Macaca fascicularis: one gene and its partners. The protein of the gene in region 4 purifies or fractionates together with the protein of the main gene of each other region. This does not show direct contact. Links are inferred from orthologs where the notes say so. Each region holds a gene or a part of one and is shown on either strand. Other genes may lie near its edges.

What was found. The genes of interacting proteins can lie anywhere in the genome.
Region 1: the proteins of WWP2 (region 4) and GPN1 purify together in Homo sapiens (affinity purification with mass spectrometry; 3 studies listed by BioGRID and IntAct, with this or other methods). This does not show direct contact. The link is inferred for Macaca fascicularis from reciprocal best matches to the Homo sapiens genes WWP2 and GPN1.
Region 2: the proteins of WWP2 (region 4) and PTPN14 purify together in Homo sapiens (affinity purification with mass spectrometry; 3 studies listed by BioGRID). This does not show direct contact. The link is inferred for Macaca fascicularis from reciprocal best matches to the Homo sapiens genes WWP2 and PTPN14.
Region 3: the proteins of WWP2 (region 4) and POLR2D purify together in Homo sapiens (affinity purification with mass spectrometry; 3 studies listed by BioGRID and IntAct, with this or other methods). This does not show direct contact. The link is inferred for Macaca fascicularis from reciprocal best matches to the Homo sapiens genes WWP2 and POLR2D.
Region 5: the proteins of WWP2 (region 4) and NDFIP2 purify together in Homo sapiens (affinity purification with western blotting; 3 studies listed by BioGRID and IntAct, with this or other methods). This does not show direct contact. The link is inferred for Macaca fascicularis from reciprocal best matches to the Homo sapiens genes WWP2 and NDFIP2.

Annotation. Positions count from the first base shown.
Region 1 is NC_088387.1:94,603,138-94,607,996, forward strand, and holds the start of GPN1 (GPN-loop GTPase 1), read right to left. Parts: upstream 3,011-4,859; 5' UTR 3,002-3,010; coding exon 2,891-3,001; intron 2,189-2,890; coding exon 2,095-2,188; intron 1,030-2,094; coding exon 990-1,029; intron 893-989; exon of another isoform or gene 878-892; coding exon of another isoform or gene 856-877; intron 286-855; coding exon of another isoform or gene 267-285; coding exon 200-266; intron 1-199. Other genes in the region: CCDC121 (coiled-coil domain-containing protein 121), read left to right, coding at 3,297-3,664, 4,131-4,859. UniProt on the Homo sapiens protein: Small GTPase required for proper nuclear import of RNA polymerase II (RNAPII). May act at an RNAP assembly step prior to nuclear import.
Region 2 is NC_088375.1:72,331,418-72,336,376, forward strand, and holds the start of PTPN14 (tyrosine-protein phosphatase non-receptor type 14), read right to left. Parts: upstream 3,011-4,959; 5' UTR 2,421-3,010; intron 2,318-2,420; exon of another isoform or gene 2,191-2,317; intron 1-2,190. UniProt on the Homo sapiens protein: Protein tyrosine phosphatase which may play a role in the regulation of lymphangiogenesis, cell-cell adhesion, cell-matrix adhesion, cell migration, cell growth and also regulates TGF-beta gene expression, thereby modulating epithelial-mesenchymal transition.
Region 3 is NC_088386.1:3,674,512-3,679,363, reverse strand, and holds the start of POLR2D (DNA-directed RNA polymerase II subunit RPB4), read right to left. Parts: upstream 3,011-4,852; 5' UTR 2,986-3,010; coding exon 2,913-2,985; exon of another isoform or gene 2,691-2,912; intron 1-2,690. UniProt on the Homo sapiens protein: Core component of RNA polymerase II (Pol II), a DNA-dependent RNA polymerase which synthesizes mRNA precursors and many functional non-coding RNAs using the four ribonucleoside triphosphates as substrates.
Region 4 is NC_088394.1:66,046,806-66,051,028, reverse strand, and holds part of WWP2 (NEDD4-like E3 ubiquitin-protein ligase WWP2), read right to left. Parts: intron 2,932-4,223; coding exon 2,772-2,931; intron 1,081-2,771; coding exon 947-1,080; intron 622-946; coding exon 481-621; intron 1-480. UniProt on the Homo sapiens protein: E3 ubiquitin-protein ligase which accepts ubiquitin from an E2 ubiquitin-conjugating enzyme in the form of a thioester and then directly transfers the ubiquitin to targeted substrates.
Region 5 is NC_088391.1:70,542,161-70,546,956, reverse strand, and holds the start of NDFIP2 (NEDD4 family-interacting protein 2), read right to left. Parts: upstream 3,011-4,796; 5' UTR 2,930-3,010; coding exon 2,609-2,929; intron 1-2,608. UniProt on the Homo sapiens protein: Activates HECT domain-containing E3 ubiquitin-protein ligases, including ITCH, NEDD4, NEDD4L, SMURF2, WWP1 and WWP2, and consequently modulates the stability of their targets. As a result, may control many cellular processes.

The DNA.
Region 1 (4,859 bases), on a different chromosome or scaffold from region 4:
GTCACAAATATTAAATGTGAAGTGTCTGACAATACTGATCACCTTCTCATAGTCTACTTCTCTGTCTGACAAAATGTCTACTTATTTTCTGTATTTATGTGCAGGTTTGCCGCTTTTCTTTATCAATGTGATCAAGCTAAGGAATTTAAGAGTCACAGATTTTTACACAGCCATATTGATATATTAAAGACAGACATACCTGATCAAATCTGGTAGCAAAGAGATTGAGTGAGGTCACTATGCCGCCATTGGGTCCAAGTCCATATCTAGACACCAAGTTGAGGACTGAAATCGCTTATAGATTAGATTATAAAGTTCACACCCAGGCTATCATTCACACAAAACAGCATTATGAAATTAGTGTTCCATTAATGAATATTGGCAACCTAATCCGTGACTACCACACAACCTTAACCACACAGGGAAACATTCAGTATCAAGGTCTGGCTCACTCATTTATGACTTTAGGAATGGCCAGGCAAAATGAAGAAAGCAAAGTGACCAAAATGTAATACAGGTGCATCAGGCAGTGACAGCTCCCTAGCACTGGCCATGAAGGCCACCTGTATAACACCTCCGGCTCTGATCCTCATAAACAAATTAAGCAGAGTACACATTTCACAAAGCAATTTACTAAGAGTTAATCCAACTAAACCCACTCATTTCTGAGTTTCCCAGTCTAAAGAGGTGGTGACCAACAGATGATCCTCCAAGGCAAAATACTACCTTGTGGGACCCAGGTAGCTGTCAGTTATCCTATCCTACTCTCTGCTCTTTAATTACAACAGCCTGCCATCTGGGGAGACAGTAAAAAAACTAAAACCTCAAGCTGAAATAATATTTCTGATCACCTACCTCTGCCACAATCAGCTTCCATCCTTTTGCTTGTATATTTCACAGGGAAAAGGCAAAAACACTCTTTCAAGCCACAAAATACACAGAAACGAAGCCAGGAATGAGTCAAGACCAAAGTAGATGGAAAAGGATACTGTTTCATGACTTCTTTATACTTTACAGTGTCACGAATATCTGAGGAGAAAGAAAAGAATTAACTGGAATGTAATACATGCACATTCCCTACCAGCAGGAAAGTGAAACTGGCCTTCTAGCCTTCTCTTGTCAGCATTCTCTTCTACCACCTCCACTTTCACACTGGTTTCCTTCCTTACAAAGAATAAATGTCAAGTAATTCATGAAGAATGTTAGGGCTAGGAGCTCTAAAGTTATGGTAGAGAGTTTTGTCTCCACAAAGTGAGAAGTTTCACACAAGTTAAACACGTCTAGAAAAAGGGAGGCAAAAATCAAGGGGAAAAAAAAGCTTCTTACTAATTGCCTATTACTAACAAACGCAATGCAAAGGCAATGCAGACATGATTTTTAAAAAGGAATTAGGCTGGGCACAGTGGCTCACACCTGTAATCCCAGCATTTTGGGAGGCCAAGGCAGGAGGATCACTTGAGCCCAGGAGTTCAAGACCAGCCTGGGCAACATAGAGAGGCCTTGTCTCTCCAAACAAAACAAAACTAGCCCAGCATGGTGGCAGGAGGCTGAGGTGGGAGGATCACTTGAGCCTGGGATGTTGAGGCTGCAGTGAGCTGAATCACGCCACTGCACTCTGGCCTGGGTGACAGAGACTCTATAAAAACAACAACAACAACAACAAAAAAAGCCTAAGCTGTTTAGGAACTCAAGCAAATCCAAAGGAAATGAAAGTAGATAGTTTAGAAAACATCAAAAAAGAAGGCACTGAAGACTGGCAGGCTGGAGAGTCTGACTCTATTGCCTAGGCTGGAGTGCAGTGGTGCTATCTTAGCTCACTACAACCTCTGCCACCCGGATTCAAGCAATTCTCCTGCCTCAGCCTCCCGAGTAGCGGGAATTACAGGCATCTGCCACCGCGCCTGGCTAATTTTTTGTATTTTTAGTAGAGATGGGGTTTCACCATCTTGCCCAGGCTGGTCTTGAACTCCTGACCTCTTCATCTACCTGCCTCGACCTCCCAAAGTGCTGGGATTACAGGGGTGAGCCACTGCGCCCGGCCTTTTCCATTCTCTTTAAAGCACTTCACACAAGTTATGTTACCGGTTTACTCACCAATATTGGCAGGAAAGGGAACTTCATGTACTGCTGGATCCAGGTTGATCACATAAGGTGGAGTGCCTTGGGCATGCAGGTGTCCTGTGAGCCTCTGCAGAGATATGGGGAGAAGGTTGGAAGGAGACAAAGAGGGGACAAGAGAGAACTTCCTTTACCACCCATGCCTTAAGAGTTTTGCACTTAGATTTTCTTTTACCTGAAATATCCACCCACTATATCCAACACCAAGATACAACTCTCAGTTCAAATGCTACCTTTCTTCATCACCCATCTAACAAAACTTCCCCTACTCATAGTCACTTGTTTACTTGTTTTGATTCTTCGTATGTGGGTTTTCTCTATCTCCTCCATTAAATATTTAGCCCCATGAATGAATCTTGTCAACCTAATTTTCGCTATATCCCCAGTGAATGGTACATAACAGGCGTGCAAGAAATAATTCTTCGGCAAATCTTCACCAAAACCTGTGTGCTAGCACTGTATTAATCTCTAAAGTTACTTGTAAGCCCCTGCCTTCAAGAAACTGGCAATTTTATCAGCAAGACAATTCCTGTACAACGTGGTAAGCTGACCGAGTATGCACTGAAGGTGCACAGAAGACAGCCTTAATTAACCTGGCTAGGGCCCGAGGAGGCTTTGCCGGGGAAGGAACTAAAGTTGATGGGAAACGACCGAAACCCATGCGCCGATACCCTCCAAATCCTCGGAGACCTCCCTCCCTTTCTCCCTGGCCTTCCGCCTGTCGGAGGCAACCTTTTGCGCTCCCCTACTACACCCACGCTGTGTACGTCACCTGTACAAAGGTGGTTTTCCCGGATCCCGCCATTCCCAACACCAACAGACACACTGGGTGCCGCGGACCCCCAGAAGCCTGGGGCTCAGCTGCAGCTGCGGGCGCCGCCATCTTCCTCCTGGCCCCGCCCACCTGACCATAGAGACACCGCATGGCTAGAGAAACTTCCGCGATGTTCTGGGCAGCGAACGAAAACAGAACCAAAGCGTCAGAAAGGAGCGTGAAGGGGCGCGGTAGTTGCCAGGGCATCTTCTTAGTATCGGGCAGGGCTGGTGAGCCAACTAGTGACAGTGGCGAGGAAGTGGGGGCGCTGAGCAAGCGAGAGGAAGGCTGAAGGGAGCTAGGAAAGGGCTCTGATCTCTGCAGCCTGGGAGGGCTTTTGTCCCCAGGGGGAAGGCGAGAAGAGATGGGGTCCCGAGGGCAGGACTCACACAGCAAGAAAACAAGGCGCATGCCTCTCATTTCGAGCCCGCAGAGAGCGGGGAGCGGAGCCACTGGAGGACCGGCTGCTCGGGTTTATTCGGTAGCCGAGGCGGTTAAACAGTTCAGGGCTGGACCAGCCAGGACTGGAGCAGGGTGCAGCCTCCAGGGTTGCTGGGCAGCACCGAGACCCTTTGAGCACCGAACGGATAAACTACGGGAGTTTTCCGCACTTGCACGTTGTTCCCGCGAGTTGCAGGCGCAGGTTCCTGATGCTAGCGCTCATTCCTTGGTAATCACCCTCGGTGAACTACGCAGTTGCCGTGACCTTCAGGATGAATGCTTGGATTCCAGGTGCGAATAGGTACTGGAGGGGAGCTTCCTTCTCACTGAAGGGCTCTCAGAAACTCAGGAAAGATGATGAAAGAGCTTAGAAAAGTATTTCTACTCGCAACCACCCAGTCTGTTTCTGTGGCCCTTTGTAGCTGCTAACAGTGTTCAGTAAGTCATAAGATCTGGCTTTCATACCCAGGCTCTGCCACTTGCTAGTGGTGTGAGTCATGGGCAATTCACTTAAACTCTCTGAACCTGTTTTCTCTTTTTAAAACTGAGATAGTACCTCCCAGGGTTGTGGTGAACGCACGTTGTAAATGATGAGCTAAATCCGTCATCTTTTACCACTAGCTGGATTCCCCTCACCTTGCATAATGTCTGGAACATTCTGGGTACTCAGAAATATTCTCTGGTATAAATAAAGGACAGTTCTGCACTTCCTAAAGTTTCATCAACTGAGAGAGGAATGTCTCATTTGTTCTTTCAGGTTTGCTGAGGGCCCCAGAAGGCTCCTTCCACCGTATCATAGGCTAATAAATAATTTTGTCAAGCCAGAGAAGCTAACAAAGGTGGAGACAATCCTTAAAGAAAAGATAGTGGCGGAAATGACGGTTCTGAACAAGCATATAAAACAAGCTCAAATCCAGCGGGAACAGCTACTGGAGGAATACAGGGAGCTATACCAAGAAAAGTTACTTGTCCAGGCTGAAAACAGGTTCTTTCTGGAATACCTGACTAACAAAACTGAAGAGTACACAAAGCAACCTGAGAAGGTATGGAACAGCTATTTACAACAAAGTGGAGAGATCGAACGAAGAAGACAAGAATCAGCCTCCAGATATGCAGAACAAATTTCAGTGCTTAAAACAGCGCTCTTGCAAAAGGAAAATATCCAATCCAGTTTGAAGCGGAAGTTGCAGGCAATGAGGGACATTGCTATATTAAAGGAAAAGCAGGAGAAAGAAATACAGACATTACAGGAGGAGAAAAAGAAAGTCCAAGCTGAGACAGCTGCAAAGACACGTGAAGTACAGGCCCAGCTCCTCCAGGAGAAAAGATTACTGGAGAAACAACTGAGCGAGCCAGACAGGAGGCTACTGGGAAAGAGAAAAAGAAGAGAGCTTAATAAGAAAGCCCAGGCCTTGAAGTTGGCAGCAGAGCGGTCTATTTTTGAATACTCCTGTGGCCTCAAAAGAGAGAACCAGCAGTTCAAGAA
Region 2 (4,959 bases), on a different chromosome or scaffold from region 4:
ACGTCCAGGGCAAGTAAGAATTATTCTAAAAATTCTGATTTTTCTCTGAATTCCTTATGGTGCTTCCCTATTAAAAGTCTAACTGTTCTTTCTAGTACAGCTACCAGCGTGACACAGTATGCACAAACCTGAATAACTCAAGTGTTAATAATAATTACATGTTGAAGCCAATGATGGAAACTGGGCAAATGCCTGGGATTCGCGGGAAAGGGCTTCTCTTCAACCATGTCTCTCATGCAGGTCCCCACACCTTCAGGAAACCTTCTGTGAAGGGGCTGTTCTTGAGATAAGAAAAGATGCTGGTCGAGGGGCTTGGATAAACACCCAAAGGTGTAGGAAGTCACTGTGTTCTTCCTACTCTGATGTACTGGCCTGAGGTCACCAAAAGCTGGATGTCTGCCACCTCGGCCAGGACTCAGCCACTAGGAACAATACTACAGCACCACTTCAGTCCAGTGAAGAGGCACCCTTGAAAGGCAAACCACGTACAGAACGCTACTGCATTGTAAGAAACTTTTCTAGCCAGGATTTGCTGAATCCTGGGCCATTAGGCTACAAAAATCTGCAAGAAGATAGTGTTTTCTATTTTCATAAAGTTTCAGAGAGAAGAACGACAGTCCTTACAACTGTGCGTGCTAAAGCAATAGTAATGACTTCAAAGTAGAGAAAAGTATAACAAACTTCGTGACATACAGATGAACTAATTTTGCACCACATGGCCACCCATTCAGACTGGGCAAAAAGGGCATCATGCCATTCAGCTCCCGCTCATTAAGGCTGTCATTTCTATGGCACAAGCTTTAACCCCATCACCAAACAATTAGGTAACTTTATAATACAAGGTCCGTAAAGCCTTGTATTACCACACCTATGGCTGTCAAGCAGCCTTTTAAAAAAGGAATCATTGTTTGAATGTGGGGGATAAAAAAGAAGAATAATCAATACCATGTTAACGAAACCGAGCATGGGCCAATTAAAATTTAGATGATCATACAACAGCTGCTTGTGGTAAAACAGCAGCAGGCATGGAAGTGTATCCAAAGAGGGAGGCCTTGGCTCCACTGGAAGCTACTTGTGGTTCCCATCAGTGGCTAACGCACTCCTAGATTAATTTCTTATATTGGGGGTGGAGAGAATGCTATCCCAGCAACACTGCACCAACATGGCCATAAATGCCCCTTGGGCCCCCAGATGGCTAGGGAAACTTTCGGTCCTTCTTGTGTTCACTCTGCACCAGCTGTTTCCTCTGCCTGGAATACACCCTCCAGATGAGCACAATCTCCATTCTCTAAGCGCAGTGCACGCCTCACCAGGACCAAGCTCGCCTCAGACTCTCACAGAACCCATCTTCCACGCATTATCATTCTTCATCTGCCTTCAGGTTTCCTCCACTAGGCTGCAGACTCCTGCCCTGTGATCTCGTTTAGCATCTTTCTATCCCCTGTTCCTAGCAGAGTGGAAGCTGGGTTTGTTGGATGAATGAGTAAACTAATCCATTTCAAGAAGTTAACACATTGGTGGAAACTCTGTAACTGCCCGCGCCTGCAATCTAGAGATTTCTCACCTTCACAAAGAACCTGCGACAGCCAGTCCCCAGACTTAAGCGGAAACCCTACAATCTCTGAAATTGTAGGTGGGGATGAGGGGGCTGGAGGACAGGAACTGAAGGAAGTGAGAGGAAAAGGGAGGTAGGGGCAGCGTTACCTCACTGCTCTCTCCAAACGAAAAGGTGTAAAACCCATTTACAAGTATTCAAACCCGAGATCTGGGGGTCACGTGGGGAAGGAGAGGCTGTTAATACCTAGAACTTGAAAAGTTTGAGGTGGAGACCTGATCTGAAATTGTGTGACCACAGCTTTTTTCTACGAGCCAGCCCGACCACCCAAGTAGGAGCCTCGACGCCCAGGAGTTCGGTGGCACCACTGAGGCCTAGTGAGAGGGCAGGAAAACTCCGCTCGCCTCAAGATCCCTTCCCGGTGGTGGTGGGGGGTAACTCGGGGCGTCGGGCAGCTGCGTCCCCCTACCGCTGCAGCGACCGCGACGTCGTTCGTCTTTCATCCTCTAGCCCCCAAGGTTTAGGTATCTCCAGGTGCCCCTCCGAGGCCCTCTCTCATTCCCAAAACGCAGAAGGGAAGGGAGAGAGAAGACGAGGGTGTGGGTTTAACCACAAACTCCCCAGACGGCGCTCACCTTCCAGCTCGCTCCGGGACAAGCTTTGCGCCTCACCACGGGCAGCTCCCACCGCGATATAACACCCCTGCGGCCCGGCCACCCAGCGCCCCCGCTGCCCTGCCAGGCGTCCCGGGCCGCCAATCGCAAGTTGGCGTTGCCAGCGTCTGCCCAAGTCATCTGCAGGGCGCCCGGAGCGCCGAGGCGGCCTCCAACCTCGGGCCCGACTCCCCGGCTTGGACGGGGCTTACCTGCTTACATGGCCCCCGTGGCGCCCCGGAGTCCCGCGCGGAAAGGCTGTCCTTCGCGGCGGCGAAGCCCCGATTCCCCACGGAATTGATTCCAGTGGCTGGCGGAGGAGGGGCGAAGGGAAGGAGCCGCAGGAGGCGAAAGGGGAGGGAGGTTTCCGCCGCGATCCTGGCGCGAGAGTCGGAGCAGAGGCGCACCGGGGAAGAAAAGGAGAAAAACCTAAGCACTGGCTGTCCCGTTCCAGGAGGCCGGGGAGGATGGCTCAGCTGGGAGGGGAAGGAGCGCCAGTGGCCACTTGTGTCTGTCTAGGGCTCCCCAAGGACCTGAGCCAGCAGAGCAGGCGGCCGAGCCCGGAGGAGCACAGCAACCTGCCCCCGAGTCTGCGTCCCCTGCGCTCACTCCACGGAGAAAAAGTTGGGAAGAACTTTGAGGGGCCGGGAGAGCCAGAGCGGCAGGAAATGCGAGCGGCCGGCAGAGGAGGGAGGAAGGGGCCGTGCGAGTGGGAGGGGACGGAGCAAGCGCCGGCGGCCACGGCTCCCCCACCCCAGAGCCGGGCTCGGCAGCGCTGGGGGCCTGGAGGCGGAGGGAGCGCGGGGCGCGCGGCCGGGGGCGGGGAGGAATGCGGCCCGGGAGGGCGCGCGCCGGGGGCGCCGCGGGCGCGCGCTGAAACGTGGAGCCCCAGCTCCAGAGCTCCCAAGCTGGAGGCGCGCCGTCCTTGGGGACGTCACAGCGCTGGAATCCGAGGAATGCCGGGCTGCAGGAGCTCCTTCTGCAGGCCCGGAGAAGTCGCGCACTTTTAATGGTGTAGTTTTGGAAAATGTTTTAAAAGGTGGGGGCCGAGGACGGAGGACCGGATGAAACTCCCTGGAGTAAGAGACGTTGAAGTGGAGAGAGCGAGGCGACCGCAACCACCCCAACCCTGTGCCGCTCCCGCCGTTGGGAAGAAAGAGGCAAGGAAAGGAAGATCCCACCTAGACTTCCGAGGACCGCAGAGACGGGGTGGCGGCAGGATCTTGCCCACCCCGACCTAGATCAAGGACAGTCCACCTTATATTGGGGAACCCTCCAAGCAGGACGCCTCATGCAGCCACCTCACAGGGGAAAACAGACCAGGAGAAAGTAAGGTGGCCTCACCGAGTAGGCAATCTCAAAGATCTCTCCCTAGAACCTCTGGGTACTGGACCCGGTGTCTTAGCCTTCTCTCCCTGCCCCCTCCTGCCCCCTAGGAATGATAAAAAGCAGCCTCTGTGCTGAGAGTTGGAAAATGTCGTTTTCCCGGTTTGTTCCATGCCACAGAATCGCCCCACCCTGCTTGGGTAGGCACTGGGAGGGAACTTCCTTAGCACTTTCGGAGGTGGAGTTAATGAGACGCAGCTGGTATGATGGAAAAAGCTTGGAGCCAGGAGACTGAACCTGAGTTTTAGGCCCTGCCCGATTGGATAACTGAGGAGTATCCCAGCCCCTGAGATCCTAGGTTTCTGTAGCTGTAAAAATAAAGAATTTGTCTAGATTTCTGTGGTCCTTTGCATTGCTAACATGTCTTGGGATATGTTATCTTGCTAAGATTCCAGTCCTTTGTTGAAAAAGAGCCTTGAAGTCGTTGTCACAGAATGTGCTGTCCCAAATCACTTCAGTGTCTGGCAACTCATGCAAAAATTCCTGGCCTCTTGGGGAAGAGAACTGGAAACCAAAAAGCACGGTGGCTCACACCTGTAATCCCAGCACTTTGGGAAGCCGAGGCGGGCGGATTGGCTGAGCTCAGAAGTTCGACACCAGCTTGAGCAACACGGTGAAACCCCGTCTCTACTAAAATTCAAAAAGTTAGCCGGGCGTGGCGGCGTGCGCCTGTAGTCCCAGCTACTTGGGAGGCTGAGGCAGGAGAATTGCTTGAACCCGGGAGGCGGAGGTTGCAGTGAGCCGAGATCGCGCCACTGCACTCCATCCTGGGCTACAGGGCCAGACTACGTCTCAAAAAAATAAAATGAAATAAAATAAATAAATCCGTAGTGACTCTGATTTTCTTCGAGCATCTGCCAATCTCTAGAACTATAAAGAATTAGAGAAAACGCCGAGTGCAATGCAAAAGTGATGGAAAGAAAAGGTTGAAGGGAAATCAACTTTCTCACATTTTAAAGGAAATAGCTGTACAGACGCGCTAGGTTTCCAAAGAAAACATTAGGCAGTGCCTGACTGTGTTCCAGAAAGTGTGGAAAGCACTCCCCCATTCCTAGATGAGGAAAGTGAGGCATGAAGAAATTACCTGTCTCACTGAGGGTCATACAACTAGGAAGATATGATCAGGTCCCTAGTCTGTCAGGCCTAAAGTGCATGCTCTTAATCTCTTTGAAATTGGACCCAAACAGGATTAGGATTAAAGATAAGAAAATGCCTTCAGGCTCTCAATGTAAAACTCTGGCTTTTGCTCTTTCCTGGGAGATGGGAGGCCTGGTGTTGGTGTCTTTTCTAGTGGAAAGACACTAGGAAATATATTTTGTTGCTCTAACACCACTATGCTACCAAACTGAGCACAGCACCCTGAGA
Region 3 (4,852 bases), on a different chromosome or scaffold from region 4:
AGAGCAGGAACCATTCATAAACATGAATTCATGTTTATAATCCCTCACTGAAAAGGAAGCAACAGTGAGGAAAAGCCAGAATGACTTGCAATTTCACATTTACACGTGCTATAGGTCTGTTTATTATCGGGGAAATCACTAACACCTCCCTCAGAGTAACGCCTTCCCAATTCTCAAGCCGGGTAACTGACAAGAGCCTCATTCTCCTTTCACGACACAGACAGTTTAAGTGGTAGGTCAGGAGGAAAGTCTATTTTTATTTGAAAGGTACTCATTGCTACTGAATATAATAGGCTACCAATACAGCTGGAGCACTATTGAAATAAAATTAAAATCTAAATAAAAAAATAGGTAACCAAAAGCTATTTTCTACCTGAGGGCAGGAGAGTTTAAACAAAAACCTCAGAACACCTTTTTCTGTCTTCCAGCCTATAACAGGGGATGTACTACAGTGAGTGCCTATTTGTATACCAGGAACTTTACTACTTTTAATCTTTAACACTGAGGCACTGTAGGTACAGAAGAAACTACTGCCTCACAGCAATGAGTAGAGGAAAAGGCATTATATATCAGGACTGCAGGACCTCCAAACTCTGAAGCGACAGTAACAAATGACATCAGGCCAAAACAAAAAAGGGAAGAAGTAGCTAATCAGTTACAAATCGGTGTGTTGGAACTTTGATGCTTTTACAGGTCCTGGAAAAATCAATGTTAAGAGATGCATCCCAGGCTGGGCGCCGTGGCTCATGCCTGTAATCCCAGCACTTTGGGAGGCCAAGTCAGGTGAATCACCTAAAGTCAGGAGTTCGAGACCAGCCTAACATGGTGAAACCCCATCTCTACTAATACAAAAATTAGTCGGGCATGGTGGCACATGCCTGTAATCCCAGCTACTCAGGCTGAGGCAGGAGAATCGCTTGAACCCAGGAGGTGGAGGTTGCGGTGAGCCGAGATTGTGCCACTGCACTCCAGCCTAGGCAACAAGGGTGAAACACTCTGTCTCAAAAAAACAAAACAAAACAAAACAGATGCCTCCCTTTCTGCACTAAACCAAAATTACTTGTTAAATGGAAAGGAATGGAACTTTTAGGCCACCAGGAAACTAGTCAGCTGTCCCTATTTCTCATTAAGAACAATATTCAAGTACTACTAATACATTACCCTCACTCCCTTCAACCAAGGAAGGTCAAGGCAGCCAAACTGTAACTCAGAGGGCCTAGGAAAGGGGTGTCTGAGACCTACCACAGAGCTTTTGGGAGGCATTCCCAGGATTCGGCATCAACAAAATGGGGATGGGGGAGGCAGTTCAGACACTTTTGTATAACTACGGAGAGGAGGAATCCAAGACTTCTCCCCATGGCTAATTCCAATAAACATTTTCAAGTGAAAGCATACACACACACACACACACACACACACACACACACAATTTATTTGGAAACAAAAGGAAACAGATCAGGGGATCTGCATGTTATTCTCTCTTGTGCAAATATTTTAAGAACAATGGCCATAATTAATCCCTGTTGCTAAAAAAGGAAAACAATTCCTTGGCCAGTATGTCATCTGGAAATTTTAGTAAGGTTCCGTCATCACGACCATTAATAGGCCCGGTGCAGTGGCTCACACCTGTACTTTCTAACACTTTAGGCAGCTAAGGCAGGTAGACCACTTGAGCCCAGGAATTCAAGACCAGCCTGGGCCACATGGTGAAATCTTGTCTCCACAAAAAAAATACAAAAACTAGCCAGGTGTGGTGGTGTGCACTTGTAGTTCCAGGTACTCCAGGGGCTGAAGTGAGGTGGGAGGATTACCTGAGCCTGGGAAGGTTGAGGCTGCAGTGAGCTGTGATCACACCACTGCACTCCAACCTGGGTAGCAGAATGAGATCTTGCCTCAAAAAAAAAAAAAAAAAAATGCAGGGCGAGGTGGCTCACGCCTGTAATGCCAGCTCTGTGAGGCCAAGGTGGATGGATCACTTGAGGTCTTGAGGTCCTTATCCCTAGGAATACCCTCCCCAACCACTGCGTGCCTGAGAAAACTCGAGGCTGCCAAAATAATTTGTTTGGGCCGGGCGTGGTGGCTCACGCCTGTAATCCCAGCACTTTGGGAGGCCGAGGCGGGCGGATCACAAGGTCAGGAGATCGAGACCACGGTGAAACCCCGTCTCTACTAAAAATACAAAAAATTAGCCGGGCGCGGTTGTGGGCGCCTGTAGTCCCAGCTACTCGGGAGGCTGAGGCAGGAGAATGGCGTGAACCCGGGAGGCGGAGCTTGCAGTGAGCCGAGATCGCGCCACTGCACTCCAGCCTGGGAGACAGAGCGAGACTCCGTCTCAAAAAAAAAAAAAAAACAAAATAATTTGTTTGTTCCAGCCAACGGCTGAAAACAGGCCTCTGTCTCTCCGCCTCGGTGGGAGGGTAGGGGCCTAACTTCGATAGATGCTGCAGTCAACAAACCAAGGTGGGTTCACACGGACCCTCCTCTTCCCTCTTTTTTACATTTCTCACTTCCCCGACTCCCCTGAGCCCCCGCTCACCACATCCTTATTCCCTAACTCTCCTTTAAAACGCCCAGAGGTTCGGTACTAATCGAAGTTGAGTTCGGTTCACGCTGGACTCTTCTCCCTAGTGCAACGTTCTATCCCTGTTTAAAAATCTGTCCTCACCACCTGGGTTTCCGGCTTTGTTTACCTTTGACACCAGCGCCCGGAACTTCGCAGTTTGTTATCACATAAAATAACCCAGTTGCCCAGGCGGCCACTCCCAGGTCCACGTTCCCTCCCCAGCCCTACGCCGCGCGGGGGTCTGCCCAAGCCGCCGCCGAGGCCAGGCCTTGGGCGAAGCGCGGATAACGCCAGGCCTGCGGCGACCACGCGAAGTGCCGCGGGGCAGTCTGGCGGCCCCGAGCCCAACCTTTAGGAAAGATGAGCTGTGAGGCGTCCTCCTCTACGTCGCCAGCCCGCGGATCGCCGCCACCTGCTGCCATCGCTGAGTCGCGCGCCACCACCAGCGCCGCCGGAAGCGGAAGCGCGGAGCAACGGCCACGGAAGGGGCGTGGTCTTGGGAGGGGCCCCGAGGGGTGGGCGGGGCCGGGAGTGTGAGGCTGGCGGGGCGCAGCGAGGGGACCTGCTGGTGTTGTCCCGGAGGCTCCCCGCCGCCCAGGGCCGCCCTGCACTCCCTCTCCTCCCTCGCGCCTCGCCGCGCAGACGTCCTGGGGTAGGTCCCTAGGCCTTTCTGGGCGGAGAGGGTCAGATGAGCTGCAGGAACGCCTGCTGATGGAGAGCAGGGCAGCCGACTCCGAACGTGCCGGGTCGAATTTCTTTCACTGACTTACACTTCTAAAATTTTATTCATTTGTGATGGATTATCTAATACTTCTGAGCACGCGGACAATGATATTCAGAGGCTTTTACCACACGTCTGTTGGAACATTTGGGTGATGCATAGAAAATTAAGCAAATGACGGCCGGGCACAGTGACTCACGCCTGTAATCCCAGCACTTTGGGAGGCCAAGGCGACGGGATCACCTGAGGTCAGGAGTTCGAAACCAGTCTGACCAAAATGGTGAAACCCTATCTCTACTAAAAATACAAAAATTAGCCGGGCATGGTGGTGGGCGCTTGTGATCCCAGCTACTCGGAAGGATGAGGCAGAAGATTCGCTTGAACCCGGGAGGCGGAGGTTGCAGGGAGCTGAGATCGCGCCACTGCACTCCAACCTGGGCGACAGAGCGAGACTCCGTCTCAAAAAAAAAAAAAAAAAATATATATATATATATATATATATATATATTAAAAAAGAAAAAAGAAATGCAAATGAAAAATGATGCTGTTTTCTACACTGGAGAAAACGAAAGGTTGTACAATAAAGGAAATAATCGTAGCTTATTAGTCAACGATATCTTAGCTCATTAGTCAACAATGTTTAGAAGGTCATATTGTAAACTCTGTTGATTTAACAACAAATGAATTGGGCCGGGCACAGTGGTTCACGCCTGAAATCCCAGCACTTTGGGAGGCCGAGGCTGGAGGATCGCTTGAGCTCCAGAGTTCAAGACCAGCCTGGACAACATAGTGAGACCTCCTCTCTAAAAAATACAAAAATTAGCCTGGCGTTGTGGTGCGCGCCTGTAGTCCCAGCTACTGGAGAGACCTAGGCGGGTGTATCGCTTGAGGGATGCAGTGAACTATGATCGCCTCACTGCACTCCAGCCTGGGCAAGAGAGAGAGACCGGCCAAAAAAAAACAGGCAAAGTCCAGGCGCGGTGGCTCACGCCTGTAATCCCAGTACTTTGGGAAGCTGAGGCGGGCGGATCACCTTAGGTCAGGAGTTTGAAACCAGCCTGGCCAACATGGTGAAATCTCTCTCTACCAAAAAAAAAAAAAAAAATCTGGGGCGTGGTGGCGGGCGCCTGTAATCCCAGCTACTCGGGAGGCTGAGGCGGAGGTTTTAGTGAACCGAGATTGCGCCACTGCATTCCAGCCTGGGCGACAGAGTGAGACTCTGTCTCAAAAAAAAAAAAAAAAAAAAAAAAAAGCTTTAAAAAATTAAAAAGTAAAATTTTAAAACTAAAAAAAAAGAAATCCTTTAGAAGGCTGTCCTGGGAATCCTGTCTGGCCTGTGCAGCCTGACCTCCTGCGAGGGCTCCTCCACGGCGTCTTGCTGTGCCCGCACTGTGGTCTCCCTCCACCTGAGAAGTTCCCTCCTCCGGAGAATGCTCTCTTTGCTTCAGTCCTGCTTCTCCAAGGAACGTGCCCAGACCGCAAGGGCTGGCCACGCCCCCTTTCACGTGCTCGGAAAGGCTGAAGGTTCCGGCGGGTTTGATGCTTGCGGGTGTTCCCCTGTACACCCA
Region 4 (4,223 bases):
GGAGTCTTTGAAGTCATCCTCACCACCGCCACCTCCTGCTCCTGCCCACAACGCCAACTGAACCTCAGACGTATGAAAGCGTGGAGATAAAAAGACTAAACCAAGAGGCCTGAGGAACAGGCATGGAGAACGGGCACACGTGAGACGGTGGGTCTAGGCACGCAGGCCACAGAGATCCTCTCGGCCTGGAGAAAGATGCAGACGTCTAAGCTTGACGCGACTTCAAAGAAATTCCACCCTGGAGGCTTGAAGTCTCCCACGTGGGGAAAAAGTGCAGCCGGGAGTCAGTAACTAAGGACCTCGGCTCTGGTCCCCCAGCTCGCGCCATCACATGACGGCCCATCAGCAGCCACCTTCGAGGCAGATGGAGATGGCATCCACAGTGACCGATGGGCCACAAGGTGGGGGCCCATCTTGCTCTGCAACCAACTAGATCTCCGCACCGCCCCTGGAGCGGAGGCCCCGGCGCCTGAGACTCACATGATGTACTCTTCCTTGTTCTCCTCCGTGACCCGGATGCTCTCGCCACCCTCCTTCAGTTCGTGGGTGGTCACCTTGCCCAGGATCTCCATGTCCTGGATGAAGTACAGCTCCAGGCCACATTCTTCCAGGTTGTTCTCTCTGGGGGCACAGCAGACCAAGTCGGGAGATGTCTATCGTGGCAGGGTCTTTCCTGGATCCTGCTCTGCTGCCCATGGGACACCAAGGGTTCACGGGTGGCCTAGAATCCTGAACAGTGACATGGGACAGCTTCCTGACTCAAGGAGGGGATTCTAGAACTGTCCACGGGGGACCCAGAGGACATTCCTCTCCACTAGCTCTTTTAAAGGCTGGACAAGAGCTCAGGGGCCACACTGGCAGACAAAATAAAAGCCGTCGGTACCTGCTCCCTGCCCAGAGACGTCCCTCCTATCAGTGCGGTGGGGTGAGGGGGGAGGGAGCTCACTTGATCCAGACAATGGAGTTGTAGAACTCAGGGTCGACGGACTCCAGGTCTTTCAGGGTTGGTCTCTTGTTGAGCATCCGCTTATAGAAAGGGAGGGTGAAGCCCGTGTCGATGAACTTTCCGTGGTACAGCGCCTGGGAAGGAAGAGGCACAGCACAGAGCTTGGGCCTTCCCCAGGCACTGCCAAGACTGGCTCTCGGATACTCGGTATCAAACTCCGCTACCACCACCCGCCTTCCCTGACAGAACCGCAGCAGCGGCTGCCTCGGACGCAGCGGGAGGGCCTCGGGAGCAAACAACGCCTTTGTCCTGACTTGCACCTACAGAGGGACTCCCACCCTGCCCTGCAGACCGCAGGGACTGGGCAGAGACAGCTGGCGCGGGAACCCACGTCCGGGCCCGCATCTGCCCCTCACACTGGCCGGCTGGCTCCCAGCCTAGCAAAGGTCTGTCCCACGCTCACAGAAAAGGCTTGCTCAGAGCAGCTCCAGGTGGCAGCCCTGACTCACTGGCGCTCAGGGTGGGTGGCAAAGGCAGCCAAAAATAATGCAGACACCGCTGACAGCGAGAGCTGGCGGCCAATGGTGAGTAATAGTCTAGGGTTTTACCGGTCTGTCCTGTTGGCTGCTGGGCCAGGCGGGTCTCTAGACCTGGGAAGAATGTGCCCACTTCCAGAGCCCAGCACCTTGGCCAAGAGCTCCCCGACGATGGGAAGGGCCATATTTAGTCACAGGCTCCTGGGACACTTGGGTCCTCCTAAGAGGGGAGCTCAGGAAGGCAGGGGAAGAAGCGAAGGAAAGTGAGAACTGAAACTTCTCAAGCTATGAATGTGGCTCCCGTGCTGGTCCCCGCTTCTCAATCGGGTTCTCCACACTCCCAAGACCCTCAACAGGGGGCACGTGGCAGGACCTCCCTTTCCCTATTCACACCGTGTCCTTCTTTCCAGTTAAATACAGATGCTGGGAAAGCCCCTCCCCAGAACTGGCCCACTTTCTGACATACGTCCCTACACCCTGCACCAGCCAGTTTACGGTTCACCAGGAGGCAGCGTGGCGTGAACAGCAGCCCCCGTGGACTGGCGCGCCCTCTCTGGGCCCCACCCTTCGCCCCCGTAGAGCTCGTAACCTAAAAATGCAAAAAGCTGGAGAGAGTTCTGGAGAAGCCAGAGCTTTCTCAGCGGCTGTCCTGTAGGTAGTGAAGAGTTTCCACGCTGCTTGTATAGGACTTGTCGAGAGGAAGCCCAGGGTCTCTGGGCCACAGACTTTAGGGTTTTGTTCTAAGCTAGTGTTGACTCCAAATGTCCTTCCAGAAGGCTTAGTGTCTCAGTGGGACGTTCCCAAATGCCGTGACAGTGTCACCTCCCAGAGACAGGCAGCAGGTGGGCAGCTATGTTTTCACCTGGCCCTGTCATCCCAAGGCCCTCAACAGAGCGCATATTTAATGTTCAGTAAAGTCTGTGGCCCAGAGACCCTGGGCTTCCTCTCGACAAGTCCTATACAAGCAGCGTGGAAACTCTTCACTACCTGCGGGACAGCCACTGAGAAAGCTCTGGTTTCTCCAGAACTCTCTCCAGCTTTTTACATTTTTAGGTTACGAGCTCTATGGGGGCGAAGGGTGGGGCCCAGAGAGGGCGCGCCAGTCCACGGGGGCTGCTGTTCACGCCACGCTGCCTCCTGGTGAACAGGCCCAGGGCCTCCTCCAATGCTGCCCCTTCCTGGAGGTCTCAGAGAAAGAGCAGATTCCCCTGGTGCCCCTGGCACACTTCACCAGGAGAGGGAAGAGGAGGGAGAGGAGGGAACCAGGCAGACCCCTGGGGCCCCCTTACCATGGCGATGAATCTGCCTATAAAGCGGAAGTAGGTGAGGTGGTCTGGGTTGATGGAGGAGGCAGGGTTGATCTGCAGGCAGTAATTGTTCTTTCCCGCGTATTCAAATAAACAATACATAGGGTTGAGCACCTCGTGAGACAGGAGGAAAAACCACTCTCTGTGAGGGAAGAGAAAGAAAAGACAAGAATAATGGGTTCCTTGGTGCACATCTGCACAGGAGCTGTGACTCTCCACCGTTGTGTTTCAGGTAGTCTGGGGACACGTGTCCCAGGGAGTCAAGCCCCGTGACAAGCACCCGCGCTAACCTATATGAACAGCTGGTCAGTGAACAGGGTGGGCTCTGTTCTACACAGAATGGCAACTGCATTTGAGGATGATGTTTGGGGAAACGTGTCCCCGTCGGCTCCCAGATGATGTGTTCCGAGACTTTACATCACAATATCCAGAGCTTCTAATGGTAAAGGGGGTCCTTGTCACCATGCTCAGTTGCATAGGCTGTGCACTACACAAGGGCACGATGCGTGTTTATGACAATAATTTTTCTGCAAAGGTTCTGTTTGAATAGCAACTACCCTGTTTCCGCTCTACCTGGTGGGCAACATAATGTAAATACAGAGCACCACATTCCCAACCCCAATCCATGAAAACGTAATCCATGCTGCCTTCAGATTAGAAACCTCACACCCACCAGCTACGCCACACCCTTGCGCTTTGCCCTCCCTTCACCCCAGACCCCAACACCATCCCCATTCCCACACTTCCAAGCATTCATCTGAATCAACACCCGTGCCCTGGGTGCGAGCCTCAGGCATGAATTCAGAGTCCTTTTGGGCTTGAGCTAAACCAGCAAGGGGACGTCCCAAGGAGGCCAGTCCCCGGCTGCTGGGCTGTTTGTGGCTGGGCAGACGAGGAGTCCTTCGACGCAGAGGGTGCCCCGGTATCCTGTCCGTGGTTCTACCCTGTGGTAGAACAGCATGACGTAACCTACCATAGGGTAAAACCACTGGCAGGACACAGAGAGAGACACACACAGGGCGCGGCCACACCAGGGAAGCCCACCAAGCAGAGCCTGGAGAGGAGGTCACCACGGAAAAAAGGAACAGTCCATCCACAGGGCCAGCGCAGAAGGCCACGCCACCACCAAACAGAGGACCAGAAGCAAGTTAACCCAACACCAAGCGAGAAGACATGCCCACACCGGGAGAGGTCTCGAGCAGAGAGGTCGCCGCAGGCCAAGGCGCTCCCTCTCTCTGCCGGGGCCCTTCTGCCCTGCCGTCCGAGGCAGCATTTCCCAGAGGGCCTGTTAACTTTTATGGGTGGACCAGGGTGAAGGCAAGACAATGCTTTGGACTCTTTTTAGGGTGACATAAGCCGTTACAGTGTTACTGACCCCAGACACGTGACATGCAGCTGAGCCCTGCTCAAGGCCCTGTGGATCGTGACATAGCT
Region 5 (4,796 bases), on a different chromosome or scaffold from region 4:
TAGCCAGGCATGGTGGAGCACACTTGCAGTCCCAGCGACTCAGGAGGCTGAGGTAGGAGAATCACTTGAACCTGGGAGGCAGACGTTGCAGCAAGCCGAGATCACGCCACTGCACTCCAGCCTGAGTGACAGAGACTCCATCTCAAAAAATAAATAAATAATAAAATAAGAACATCAAAGTTAGAATGTGGTCTAGCAGCTGCAAGCCAAGTCAACTTTATCATAGTTAGCAACACTGCTCATTTACTAACGAACAAAACTGAATTTCCCAGAAAATTATGTACCATACCTGGCTTTTTCTGAAATTAGAAGGGTAACAATCAAGAATTTTTGTAGCTCTAAACTGTTAACTGCTTTACTTAATAAATTTTGGGTGCTTTTAACAATGAAAGGAAAGATCACAGAAAAAGCAGTTTCTAGATAAAGCTTGTGCACTGGCTAATGGTAGTAGGTCGTTCTGATGACCCTGAGCATCACTACTAGCTTTCCAGTATGAAAAGTTGTATTTAAATTCTTTAAATAAGTGAAAAATTAACATTGTATACCATCTCACCCCTAAGTATACTTGCCTATCTCCTGACTTAGTCATCCCTTAACATTCGACAACTCAAGCTGTTTATTGCTCCAGTTTATTACACATTCCAGTTTTCCCAAAAACTGAGCTAAAGGCAACCACAAAATAGTTATGTTCATCATATAAGCCAGAGCTGAATACTGATCTCTAGTTTAAAAAGTCTACGGAAAATGTCAATTCAGCTTTTTCTCTGACATACACTTAGATGTTATTAATCAGGCCATTATAAACAAAACCAAGAGTTATACTGGATAGGTTAAATGACTATGTAAGTTGTGTAACCCTAACACTGTTGCCTTACAAGGAAAACAAATCGATGTCCTACTTACTTAAAGTATTATCTTTAGAGGGACTGGTAGGCATTATCTTTAGAAGAACTGATTTTTGCCCTCTGCTCTCAAGGAACTTCAAAGTCTATGTGGGACACATCATCAGTTTGAAAAAAATGAGGGGAGGGGGCAGCAATAAAATATGTCCATTTATTTTGAAAGGAGCTGTAGGGAAAACAAATATCTTAAAACTGAGAGCTACATAAATTAACAGTGTTTTAAGTAGTGACGTGTGTAGGAGAACATGGTTAATGTTTCTAATCTAACAGGAAGATTAGAAAAATGAAACAAGTTCCACTGCTGATATTATTCAGTATTTGTATCATTTTATTTTTGCTAACATTTACAAACCTAGAAATGCCCTTCAAACCATCAAAAGGGTGTACACTTGAAAAATGCTTTCCATACTAGGAGAAACAGTATTTCCCAAGTTGTTGAGAAAAGCTGCTACATTTTCAAAGAATTCGGAACACGGACCTTTTGTAGGTTTTAAAGAATGCAAACCAGTTGAAAATAGAAGCCTCGTGAGCTTTTATCTTAGAAAAATGCAAAATTACATACATTGGGATCTCATCTTACAGTGTCCTTCATATTGCCAAAATGTACTTATTAATAGAAAGTCTTGGCTTATAACTAAGTCTGACATGTGCAGATAGATTTGAAAGTTGAAACCTGGGGTTAACATACCTAAATTTGTAAAATTTTATAAACCATAAATTGCACCACCACTGCTATGTATTATTTATCTCGTCTCCCTCAGTAAATGGGCTGAAAGTTTGTAGAATGACATGCTACCTAGCTGCAACAGCACAACAGCACAGTCAACTATTGCTCAGTCCATTTTTAACTAAGGTTTACAACAGGAATCTTCAACGTCACCACCAGAATACACAAAGAAAAATATATTTAAAAATTGACACTGAAAATACAGAGGAACATATTTCACTTTTTTCAACATACAGTTACCAAAGTTTACACAGTTAAGCTGGAAAACCTTGTATTTAACGAAAAATAATTTTTCGAACAAGATTAGAATTTGTTCTACTAAAACTACCTCTGTTTCCCCTCTAGCCAAACAAACAAAAAAAAAAAACAAAAAACTGGGGATTACAAAAAATACAGTCATTTTTAATACTAACATAATGGAAAAGGACAAAAATGACAAGGTTAACGAGCAGACAAGATCAGCACTATGGCTAGTCTTTCTCTTCGGTTCCACAATTCCTAACCCACATTTTTGCCAAATCCCACTCTACACAGTACTTACACCTTCACCCACCTACCCACCCACCCACCCCATTTATGACGGCGATCACCTTCCGGGCAGGTATGTGAAGTCAGCCCCACTTCCAGTAGACAATCGACTAGAATGTCTCAGAAGTGACTGAGTCAGAGAATAAGAAAATGATAAAGTGAGAAATTAAAACAGATACAAGTTGTAAGGTGTGCGGAGGGAGGTGTCTCAAAGGGGGCTAAGGGTACGGGTGAGGAGCTAGGAGGAGACTTGGGGCGACAGGGAAGGGTTTCGAAGCAGTCCTAGGCAGGAGTGCGCAGGAGAGGCGAGTGAAGCAGCTCCAGTCAGAAGATCCAAAAGAAAACAAAACAAAAGCCACAGCGTTTCCTCTGGGAATAACCTGAGGAAAGGGACTCTCGGGACGCCCCGGCGGGAGGCAGTCCCGGGAAGCACAGGAGGCCGGGAACTCACCACCTGGTAGCGCCCCGTCCCCGGCTGGTGGTGATCCATCCTGCCCGGCTCGGGATCCGGCTTCCGAGCGGGGGAGTTCTCTCCGTGCTCAGCTCCCTCGGCCACCCCCGTCGACGACGTCGTCGCCGCAGGGCCCCTTCCGCCTCCGTTCCTGCCGCCGCGGTCTCCCGGCGGAAGCTCTTCACTTCCTGTGCCTCCCGCAGCGGCCGCCGAGACCTCCGCGTTGGTCGCGGTTCCGCGGAGGAGCACCGGGGCGCCGCGCGCACTATTGAGCATGCTCGGGCCGCTCGCGCAGACTCGCTGGCTCCGCCGGCGTCCCATCCGCGCCGCCAGTGGGAGGGTGTAGCTAGGTGGGAGGAGATGGAAAAGTAAGGCAAGTCCGGGGGAGCTGTCTAGGTTGTCAACCTGTCGAGTGGGCGGTCGCAGAAGGCGCGCGGGGGGCGGGAATGACCCGTCCTTGATTGGTCTTTTCTATGTGCGCGAGTCTCGCGCAGGCACGAGCCAGTGCGCCTTCTCACCACACAGAGACAGAGGCTGACAAAGGTATGGGGCCGCGTTCCTGGAACACCTGAGGACAGGTCTCCCGGGTACCCGACACTTCCTCGTATTACTCACCCAGCGTAGGACGTGGGGAGGAGATTCATCTCTAGAACATTGCTAAAACGCTTATTCAAAAATCATTCGTAAGATAAGGGATTTTTAAAAGACTAATATAGAGTAGTTGTAGTTTACAGCAAAATTGAGAAGTTACAGAGATATCCCGTATACACTTTGCTCCTACGCATGCATAACCCCACCCCCAACCCCGCCATTATCAACATCCCCCACTAGAGTGGTACATGTGTTACAATTGATGAACCCGAATTGACACATCATCATCACTGAAAGTCTATAGTTACCTTGGGGTTCGCTCAGGTTGTTGTATACTCCTCGAGTTACGACAAATGTGTAATGGCAGGTATTCATCATTGTAGTATCCTACAGAGTTATCCACTGCCCTGAAATTCTTCTGTGGGATGATTAGAGACGGGGTCTCACTATATTGCCCAGACGAGTGCAGTGGCTGTTCTCAGGCACAATCATGGCTCACTGCAGCCTCGAACTCCTCAGCCCAAGCTATCCACCTGCCTCAGCCTCTGGAGTAGCTGAGACTACAGGCACCAGCTCTTTGGTTACTTTTTAAATTTTTTTCCACTTTTTGGTAATAAGAGATTTAAAAATCCAACAGACTCTCCAGACAGCTCTCAAAGGAAGAGGTCTCTAGAGTTCTAGGTTACTGGAAGGACGTTAGAAGAAAGTAATGAAATCAGATAGGATTATTTTGTGGTAATAATAATTCCAATGGATTTAACAGCAAGGAATCACTTGGGAGCATTGTTAATAGCATCTCAGTGTCTGTAACCACACATGACACGGCATAAAACATATTTCTCTAGCAAGTAGAAGAGTATGACAGAGCAGTGAAAAGTGCCTTTTAACCTGAAGACCAACGTTCTATACCCTCAAAACTATGGTGCTGCTTGATGTGGCCCAGCTATGTTTTTAAGATAACACCACATTTTCCCAAAATGATCTTACAGTGGAGCCCCCTGAAGGGAAGGAAAGGGATCTGGAGCCCCATTTACTTTATTTCCTTCATGAATGTCCAGAGGACATCCTTGAAATGAAGACTGCCACTGGGTGAGCCTAATCAACTGGTTAAAATAGCAAGATACAAAAAAACCCAAAAACTCTTTGCGAGATTGACAACTGAAAAGGTAAGCCTTCCTCGTGGTTCTTTTTAAAGCATTCATCAACTCTTCCTATTTGTGCCATTTTGACATGTCTAATAGTAGAAAGCGTTACTGTGCTAACAATAAGAGGCAATGATATCTCATACTTAAATATTGTTAAACTTGCCTTGTTTTGATCTTAATGTATTTTAGTTTCTAAGCCAATAAACATATGCCATTTTATTGGTATAACTGGTATAAACGCTCACTCTCACAATTTCACTCCAAATGGTATTGCTTCTCGATGACCAAAACAACAGCCAGTGTCAGCAGACTGAAATTAGATCCTTATATCACTTACGATCTATAAGATTTATTTAGAACTTAATTTTATATGTATATGTGTTTTCGTTAATCATTCATGTGTTCATTTGTTTCTCAAATAGACGGCCATTTCTTACACCCAACGCAGCACT